Drosophila melanogaster: one gene and its partner. The protein of the gene in region 1 interacts with the protein of each later gene in a pairwise test. Each region holds a gene or a part of one and is shown on either strand. Other genes may lie near its edges.

Evidence for each region.
Region 2: the proteins of CG33169 (region 1) and cni interact in a two-hybrid assay, tested with the Drosophila melanogaster proteins (one large-scale study listed by BioGRID).

The regions. Positions count from the first base shown.
Region 1 is NT_037436.4:22,861,307-22,865,980, reverse strand, and holds CG33169 (uncharacterized protein), read right to left. Parts: upstream 2,118-4,674; 5' UTR 1,999-2,117; coding exon 1,822-1,998; 3' UTR 1,485-1,821; downstream 1-1,484. Other genes in the region: CG33170 (uncharacterized protein), read right to left, coding at 17-103, 157-210, 285-440.
Region 2 is NT_033779.5:16,307,848-16,312,270, forward strand, and holds cni (cornichon), read right to left. Parts: upstream 2,880-4,423; 5' UTR 2,844-2,879; exon of another isoform or gene 2,794-2,843; 5' UTR 2,744-2,793; coding exon 2,594-2,743; intron 2,533-2,593; coding exon 2,420-2,532; intron 2,297-2,419; coding exon 2,153-2,296; intron 2,084-2,152; coding exon 2,056-2,083; 3' UTR 1,445-2,055; downstream 1-1,444. Other genes in the region: Syx5 (syntaxin 5), read left to right, coding at 1-482, 551-1,284; fzy (fizzy), read left to right, coding at 3,254-3,565, 3,659-3,980, 4,034-4,423. UniProt on the Drosophila melanogaster protein: Acts as a cargo receptor necessary for the transportation of gurken (grk) to a transitional endoplasmic reticulum (tER) site and promotes its incorporation into coat protein complex II (COPII) vesicles.

The DNA.
Region 1 (4,674 bases):
GAAACTACCAAGGCTGTTACTTGTTCTTGGTTTGATCCATTAGTTCTTTGAGTTTCTCGTTGAAACGCTGCATCAACTTCTGGGGATCATCCACTCGGGGGACCTAAAAAAGCCACTGTATTAGGAGCAAGAACAAATGTGGGTTAGGTGGCTTACCTCATAGTTCTGTGAGACATAGATTCCCGTATACACCCCGGCGCCAAAAGTTAACTGGAATGGAGAAAGGAGGATTATTAGAGTGGGTTGTGAAAATCTTCCTGAAGATGTCTATTTCGCATGCTGACCGTCGAGAAACATATTACTCGCTTGAAAGTCCAAAAGCGTTTTTTGGGACAGCACGGCAATGGCTGGCGAACTTCCGGTGGGCAAGTTTTCGCAGAGCGACTCTGCCCGCCAGTTTTGAGCCTCAAAACCTGCGCCCCAAGTCCAAGCAGTTTCATTTTAACTTCCAGTCTATATAAACGATCAATTTGGTGAGGCCTGTGTTGTTTTTCAAAGAGTCCGAATCTGTTTACTCATGGCTTGAGCGGTCATGGTCGACATAATTTCCAACGACTAGGTGATTATTTTATTTTTGTGGATATTTGAATTTGTGAGGCCTTATATAACGTTGAACCAAAAGTCACTTATGTATGTATTCAAACAGCGCACACTGGGAAGTAAACTCAAATTGAACCAATTTTGGAATCTATTTAACTGGTGTTTTGGCGCACTTTCTACCGTTTTACCAATCCACTCTTGTTTTATCCGAGCAAGAATATTTTGAATTTTGCTTAAACTTTTAATACTATTTTTTTATTTGTTGAAGTTAGATATTGGGAAGGTATTTTCAAATGTATTACATTTTGTCATTTATATTAATCATTAATATTTAATCAAATAATTGGTTTTGATTTTGAACCCCTAGACAACACATTTCACCACTGTGCAGGGGCGCGTCATCGCCGCGAAAAGCAACACAACCACAAAAACCACAGAAAAGTTGTATCTCGTATCTGATATGATTTCAGGTGTGAATCATAAACTTAAAAACATCAGGAAACCGGAAAACTTACCAGAAACTTGAGCATAGTGGAATAGTTAAAGGAGCCTTTGTCACCCGCAGCCGCCAGCGTGAGAGTCTTAGCAAAAGTGAGAGAATGTGAAAAAGAAACGTCAAACGACGCTGCTTCGGCGCTTCGTCTGCAGCTGCTCGGAATCTGAAAACAGCTGACTGGCCCACTGCGATTTGTGTTTGTATGGTTAGGTAATCGTATTTGGCTGACTCTGATAACTATGGAGTTAAGTTACTGCCTTTCGAGCACTGAACTTTTACTTCAATTTATGTACATGCATATGCATATGTATTAACAATTATTAGTTTGCGGTCACCGACGACGAGCTCCTCGGTGGACGGGCGTAAGTGAAACTGAAACAAGGGCAATCGCAATTAAAAACTGAACGCAAAACGGCCAAAAATAAAACATGTTGGTGGATGCCGCCTTCTCTAATATACATATGCACATATTTACATATTGAAGTGCCTCTGCTACGGTTTTTACCGTTTCCTAGTGCCCTTTTTTAATCAACCGCCAAAGCGCTAGACGGTTTTCAACACTACCACCAACGACCGTAATTCGGATACATTTTGTCCCCAAATCTCAAATTCCCAGGAACTGCACTTGAACAGCAGGGTGTTGTTCGTGTCATGGAAAATCCACTTTATGTAAAACATGCTTTTTGGATGGACGAACTGTGATTTAATTGTACTATTAAGGCTATATGTCTTTACAACGATTCAATTGCACTGACCACGACTATAAACTACATTTTATGACTACATTAGGCCAAGACCGCGGGGCGGGTCTTCAAGTAGACGAACAGCACCAGAAAGACCGCCAAAACGCCGAGCGCCGGCAGCACCACGGTGCGGATCTTCGCCTGGGTCTCCAGGTTGTCCAGCTTGCGCTCCTTCTTCTGTTTGCGCGTCTCCTTCACCTTTCCCTTCAGCTGGCGCATCTTTATCACTGATAGTTTTTGCGATAGTTCCTTTAATCTGGTGACGTGTAACACTCGTCGGAATGTGTGTGCGTGGAGCAACAAAACAGAGAGCTGGCCTTCTTTCGTTCAACAAGTTGTTTCTGGGCCAAAGAAGAAGAAGAAACGTTCGACTGGGCTGGCTAAAAGCAGGCAGCTTTTGACTGTCGACAGTGCTGCTTATTTCATGCAGTTTCTGGTCGGGTTACTCTGATGACACGTCCGGCCGACTAGTGTTGAACAATGTCTCTGGGACGGAAGCGCGCGTTTAAAAAAGTCTTTATAATTAAATAACGCATTTCATAAGTTAGAAAGCCATCAATTAACCTGGGGCTGTATTTGCCTCCATCTGAACATAAAAATGTCGTAGCAAGTTGTACAAAATTCACTTGCCAGTCAATAGTGAATACTTTATTTACCCAAACAAAATATAAAATAAATATAGTTTAAAAGAAAATAAAGCCGACTGAATAAATTTTTGACTGCAGGCGAAAGTCAAAAACGTATATGCATATATGTGAGTATAGACGTTGTCCAAAGATAACGAAACAACGATACATTACAATAAATATTACAAAATTCTTGCAACGAATAAAATCTCACTCGAATTTAGTCAGATTAAAAGTAAATCGTAGTCAAAATATTTGAATGTTTTTCTATCTGCTTCAGAGGTATTTTTTTATACCAAGCATCGAAAATTCGAAAGAGTACCTTTTACTAGTAATTGAAAGTTTTCTATTATTCAAAAATGATATTTATACATTATTATAGCTATTGGTTTTGGGTTGGTTTTTGTCAATGCTGCACAGCTTCTGTTCTTCCTCAGGCGGTACTAAACGGAGGCGGAGAGAACCGCGTTTCAATTTTGCTTTGTATTGACCGCTGGCATGGCGCTGCGGAAGAATCTAACCCATATTTTTCTTTAACTGGCCTGCCGCCCCTTTAAGCCCTTTAACTGCACCCGAGGCCGTCGAAACAAGATACGCCAGCAACTGTTGCACCTTCACCTCTGAATGCGATTTCGAAAATGTTTGAGCAGTTCGCAATACTCCCAGGGGTCGGGTCTATGCCACGCAGTCACTGCTTGGGCTTCTGCCGCGAGTGCTGGACACTATGGATATTGTGGACACCGGACGTGCTGGATAAGCTGGCCGCTGCACACTTGATGAAGCAATAACAATGCAGACCGCTGGCCGGCAACCGTGGCCGAGTGGCCAATCAGTCGGGACGCACTGCCAAGTTTGTGCATTGGTAATGAAGCCTGGCGAGCCAACGCACATTTCGGCATCTAATTTTGCCCATTACCATAAACGGCAACCCGATCAGTTTGGACACGGATTATTGGCAACTATTTAGCCGGCCCCTAAAGGCCTAGACCTGCCAGCCCGGGCGAGTCCTCACGTTACATACAGATTGGCCTCAATGCGCACGCGGCTGTCCGAAAGTCGTGTTCCCGTCCAGGTCCAATCTTAGTTTCCTGGTTCTGGCCAGCGCTTACACGACCATCATACACGGCCTGTTCGTTAGCTCGCTGGCCAGCTATGTGTGATGGCCAGTCCGCTGATTGGCCAGGCCGCCGTCCGTCAGCCCGGTCCACCTGTCCGTCCTTGGGGCCGGGAGACCAACTCTTAGCTAAACCCCTTGTTTTGATTGCCAACTCGTAAAATGATGGATTACCGAGTTGGGATTTATTTCTTGTTACGGTCATAATAGATTATCGTTGCTCACTCATTGTCAGAGCTGCCCCCCCCCCCCCCCCCGAGCCACCTCTATCTAAACGGCAAGCAGCCAGAATTGCTGTCTTCGGAGGATTTGGCGTTTTGATGGAGCATGGCTTCGTCGAATGGCCTCCGATCGCACTATTCGAATGATCAAACGAACAATTAAACGCAAGTACCACAGGCAACTTAGAAGTAATTTTAGTGGTAGCACTTCTTAATTTACAAACAAGCTAGGATCGAAGTTAAAATGTAATACGCAATGCACTTCTAACCATCTGGCCTATGTTCAGGATACGAGTAGGATTTGTTAACAAATAGCCGAGGGTTGTCATGCTACGCAAATAACAAATGTACTCATTCTAAGCCACTCATATGTTGAAAGTTTTCTTCAATAAACCACAATATATTTGATGTGAATTTCGAACTAGACATTGATCATTGATCATTTATTTCTCGAATTTGCCAACACTAGGTAATCACTAATCACTGTGTAATTCTTGTATTTTGAACACCAAAATATAAGTAACGAAATGGGAAAAACATCAATAAGGGGCATTCAGATTCTTTCGTAAGCAGTTAGCTATTTTATTTGGGCCCAAATGGAGTTTTTTAGAGCGAATAACAAAAACTAGATCGAAAACATTCTTGATCAGGATGGTAAATTATGTTATACAACAGAAACACATATCAACGGGAGATAAGATAAATGTACCAATTAAAGAAAAATTGAAACACTTGTATTGTATATTGTATATTGTATATTGTATATTTATTGTTATTACTCTGAAACAACCTGAATCTTATCGCTCTTATAATTTCAGATATGTCGACGTTCATACGGACAGATGGACATATGTATGTTTGGACATATGTATGGGATTACTGTCTGTGTGGAACAGGTCAGGTTTAACAATTAAAGTTATATAAGTTAACTAAG
Region 2 (4,423 bases), on another chromosome or scaffold:
CCACATTGGAGACAACTACCAGTCGGGCGATTCCATTTCCACTCCCGATTACTCCGACGACAAGTACGGCAAGGCGGCCCGCCAGTGGAACCTACGCGCCTTCTCGGGCCACGCACTGCGCACTTTAAGTGCCGCTGCCGCCGTGGTCACCGGCAATCAACCGGGCATCAATAACGATAGCCAAAGCAACTATAGCTACCCCGCTTCCATTCCGACTAGTTCACAGTTTTACCAATCGAAGGAGGAGCCGCAGGAAACGGAACCCGAACCAGAAATATTCGTCATGGCCGCACGCGATCGAACGGGCGAGTTCGCCAATGCGATTCGTTCCCTGCAGGCTCGAAATATCACCCGGGCAGTGAATATACGCGATCCCCGCAAAGCTAAGCAGGTTCAGAGCTACTCGGAGTTCATGATGGTCGCCAGGTTTATTGGCAAGAACATAGCCAGCACCTACGCAAAACTGGAGAAGCTCACAATGTGTAAGTACATGTTTTAGTAACCCCTTAAAGTCATATTCAAAACTTTAAAATTCCCATCTTCGTTTTAGTGGCCAAAAAGAAGAGCTTATTTGATGACAGACCGCAGGAGATTCAGGAGCTGACCTATATCATCAAAGGCGACCTAAATGCCTTAAATCAACAAATTGCCCGACTGCAGGACATCTCCAAGGATCAGCGGCGTCACACAAACGGCAAGCATTTGGTGTCACATTCCTCTAACATGGTACTGGCCCTGCAATCGAAACTGGCCAGCATGAGCACGGACTTCAAGCAAATCCTGGAGGTGCGCACGGAGAACCTCAAGCAGCAGAAGACGCGACGTGATCAGTTTAGCCAGGGACCAGGTCCGTTGGCCGCGCACACCGTCTCCCCCTCGACAGCCAAGCAGGGATCTTTGCTTCTCAGCGAGGAAAACCAAGCGGTCAGCATAGATATGGGGAGCAGCGATACCACACCACTCCTATCAACCCAGACACAGATGGCCATCTACGATGATTCCGATAATTACGTCCAGCAGCGGGCGGAGACCATGCAAAATATAGAATCTACCATCGTTGAGCTCGGCGGAATATTCCAGCAGCTGGCACATATGGTTAAGGAGCAGGAAGAGATCGTGGAGCGTATTGACACGAATGTGGCGGATGCGGAATTGAATATTGAGGCTGCCCATGGGGAGATCTTGAAATACTTTCAATCCGTCTCCAAAAATCGCTGGCTGATGATCAAAATCTTCGGCGTTCTCATATTCTTCTTCTTGTTCTTCGTTGTTTTTATGTCGTAATCAAACGCCAGTTGCCCATTAAAAGCCCCATGTACCTATCCATGTATACAGCTTTTTATTTTAATCAAGATTCAATCACAATATTGTTTATTCCAAGCTGTGGCCTCCCGAAACGATTGTAAAATAAAGTTATAAATACGTTCTAAAGCAAAATACATTTATTTTAGCATGTGGTTCTTTGGTGAATTTTTCCATTCTAATGGAAGCTCTAAAATTAAATATAATTTCCAAAATATAAAGCCGAATGATAAATATGTTTGCTGATGTAAGAAACTTGTATATTACCTTAGAAAACGTGTAATGCAAGTATCAAATTGGAGAGAGACTATATCTATGTTTGCCCTGCTGATAAGGTTTAAGTGCCCTTTCATAATCTTTATTATCTTAAGTGCTCGTTGCTCCATGTTCGTCGTGTTTAGCCAAAAATTCCGCTGTCCCTCATGCTAAACAGAAAAATGAAAATTGGTTACATTGATTTGACTTTTATTTAATGCTTAAAATCCAACTACACCAAAGATGCGATATGCAAAAAATAATCAAAATAAAAACATGTTACAATCTCTTACTGCAGAAAAGTATTACAAATTGTATGAAAAAAACAAAGCTTCAAGATGTCTTTATGGATTTACACTAGAATTTACAAGTGAAGTATTGTTCGCGGTTGATGGGGACTCTTCCCCAAAAAAGGAAGTCCTCTACCCGAGTTTAGACAACTAATACACGACGCTGATGCGTTGGCGCCAACACTGAGATCCCCAGGCAAGAGCTTGCCTATGTCGAGATGAGCGAATAAACCATGCTAAAATTAGCAATTAGAAACGTTAGACAAATGAGGACCCTGGCCACAATGAATCTCAATTAGACTTACCCGTATATGTAGTAGAAGAAGCTAATCAGATAGACGGCCAGTTTAATCCAACCCTCACGCATGTTCCGGTACAAAGTATCGGTTTTCAGGACCGTGGTGGGATCATAAAGTCCGGGTCCCGACATCACAGGGCGGTTTTTGTAACTGAAAGCGATAGGGGTATTACAAAGCATGAGTGCTTAAGGGTGCTTATGTTGGGCTTGGGTGAATCTTGATCTCCTCGGATCTCAAATCACATTATATCACACGGTCAAATGAGTCACTTACCGCCAAATATGATAGGCTATGAGGGGTATGTTGATGCATAGCGAAAACCATTCGCCGCAGAACAAGAAGAGCAAGTTCAGAAAGATGTGCAGAAGGTATTCGGGCAAAACCAGCTGAAATGCAAACACATACATTACAGGGCGCACTGCGGGTGTAAGCAGTAAGTTTACTGACCGGATTGAGGCTATTGCACTGATCAATTGGGTTCTTATAATCCGTTTTAAGTTCGTCGAATGCAATGACATGAAATATGGCGAAAAATATCAAGAATGCATCCCCGATCAGGGCCACTATGTACGTGAAGGCGGTGAAGTTGAAGGCCATCTTGTAAAATCGCTGGAGCACGTCTTCCAGGTGCTAATCAAAGTGACTTGCTAATTATTATCGTAAAATTCGGCTTTGCAATTGTAGCGCTGGGACTCACTTGTTTTTTTTTTACAAGGGCGGCGATGATGACAGCTGTGCGCCAGGGATGCACTAATCTAAACGATCAGGCAGCACAGATGTACGGTCACATTGCAAATGAGGCTAATAAATAATCAGCTATCCATTATAAATCAAATATAATTTCATTTAAAGAAGCAATTTTAATTTCTAACGAATTATAATGTTTTGTATTAATTTTAATTCTCTGGTAATTTTCTCTACGCACAAAAAATACCACTAACAGTTAGCCGATGCGGTCACACTACATTTCCAAATCGAACCGCCATTTGTGTTGCATCTCGAAATCTGGAAAAAATTCGATCCAAGTGTTCTATGAGCTTCTGTTTTTTAATAATAATAAATAAATAAATTCGATAATCAACTGACACCAGAAAAGAGCGGAACACAATGTCGCAGTTCAATTTTGTGAGCGATTTGCAGAATGCTCTCATCATGGACGGCGAGACGCGCGGACCTGCGCCCAGGTGGAAGAAGAAGCTGGAGGCGTCTCTAAATGGAAGTGTGAATACCACTCGGTCGGTGCTATCCGTCTCGTACAACACCAGTTTCTCGGGTGTCCAGGCGCCCACGAAAACTCCGGGCAAGAGCAGCGAGGGCAAGACCAAGAAGTCCAACACCACGCCCTCTAAGACGCCAGGAGGCGGAGATCGCTTTATTCCGAATCGGGCGGCTACCAACTTTGAGTTAGCACACTTTCTGGTAAGGATTCCACTCATCCCTCCATCCCGCCCTGTAAGGGCATCCTTATTCCAGACCCCTTAAGAATTTATTGACCACCTGACCATCTATTAGGTGAACAAAGACTCCGGCGATAAGTCCGATGAGGAGAACGACAAGGCCACCTCGAGCAACAGCAACGAGAGCAATGTCCAGGCTTCGGCTCACAAGGGCGACCGGCAGAAACTCATCTCTGAAGTGGCCCAGGTCGGTGACTCCAAGGGCGGGCGCATTTTGTGCTACCAAAACAAGGCTCCCGCTGCTCCAGAAACACACAACAATCCCCTGAAGGTCGTGTACTCCATTAAGACACCCATATCCACAAAGAGTGGCTCACGCTATATACCCACCACATCCGAGAGGATTCTGGATGCACCTGATTTTATTAACGATTACTGTAGGTCGAAGAAAACTTTTCTTTTCTTTTTTTCTACTATTGATCTCTTCCAGATTTAAATCTTATGGATTGGAGTGCCGACAATATAGTGGCTGTGGCCTTGGGCAGTTGCGTCTATTTGTGGAACGCACAGACCGGAAATATCGAGCAGCTTACGGAGTTTGAGGAGGGCGACTACGCAGGCTCGCTATCGTGGATCCAGGAGGGGCAGATACTTGCCATCGGCAACAGCACCGGTGCCGTGGAGCTGTGGGACTGCTCCAAAGTGAAGCGTCTGCGAGTGATGGATGGACACAGTGCCCGAGTGGGATCCTTGGCCTGGAACTCATTCCTGGTTTCCTCTGGCAGCCGGGATGGCACCATTGTCCACCACGATGTGCGTGCACGTGAGCACAAGCTTTCCACATTGTCCGGACACACGCAGGAGGTTTGCGGCCTAAAGT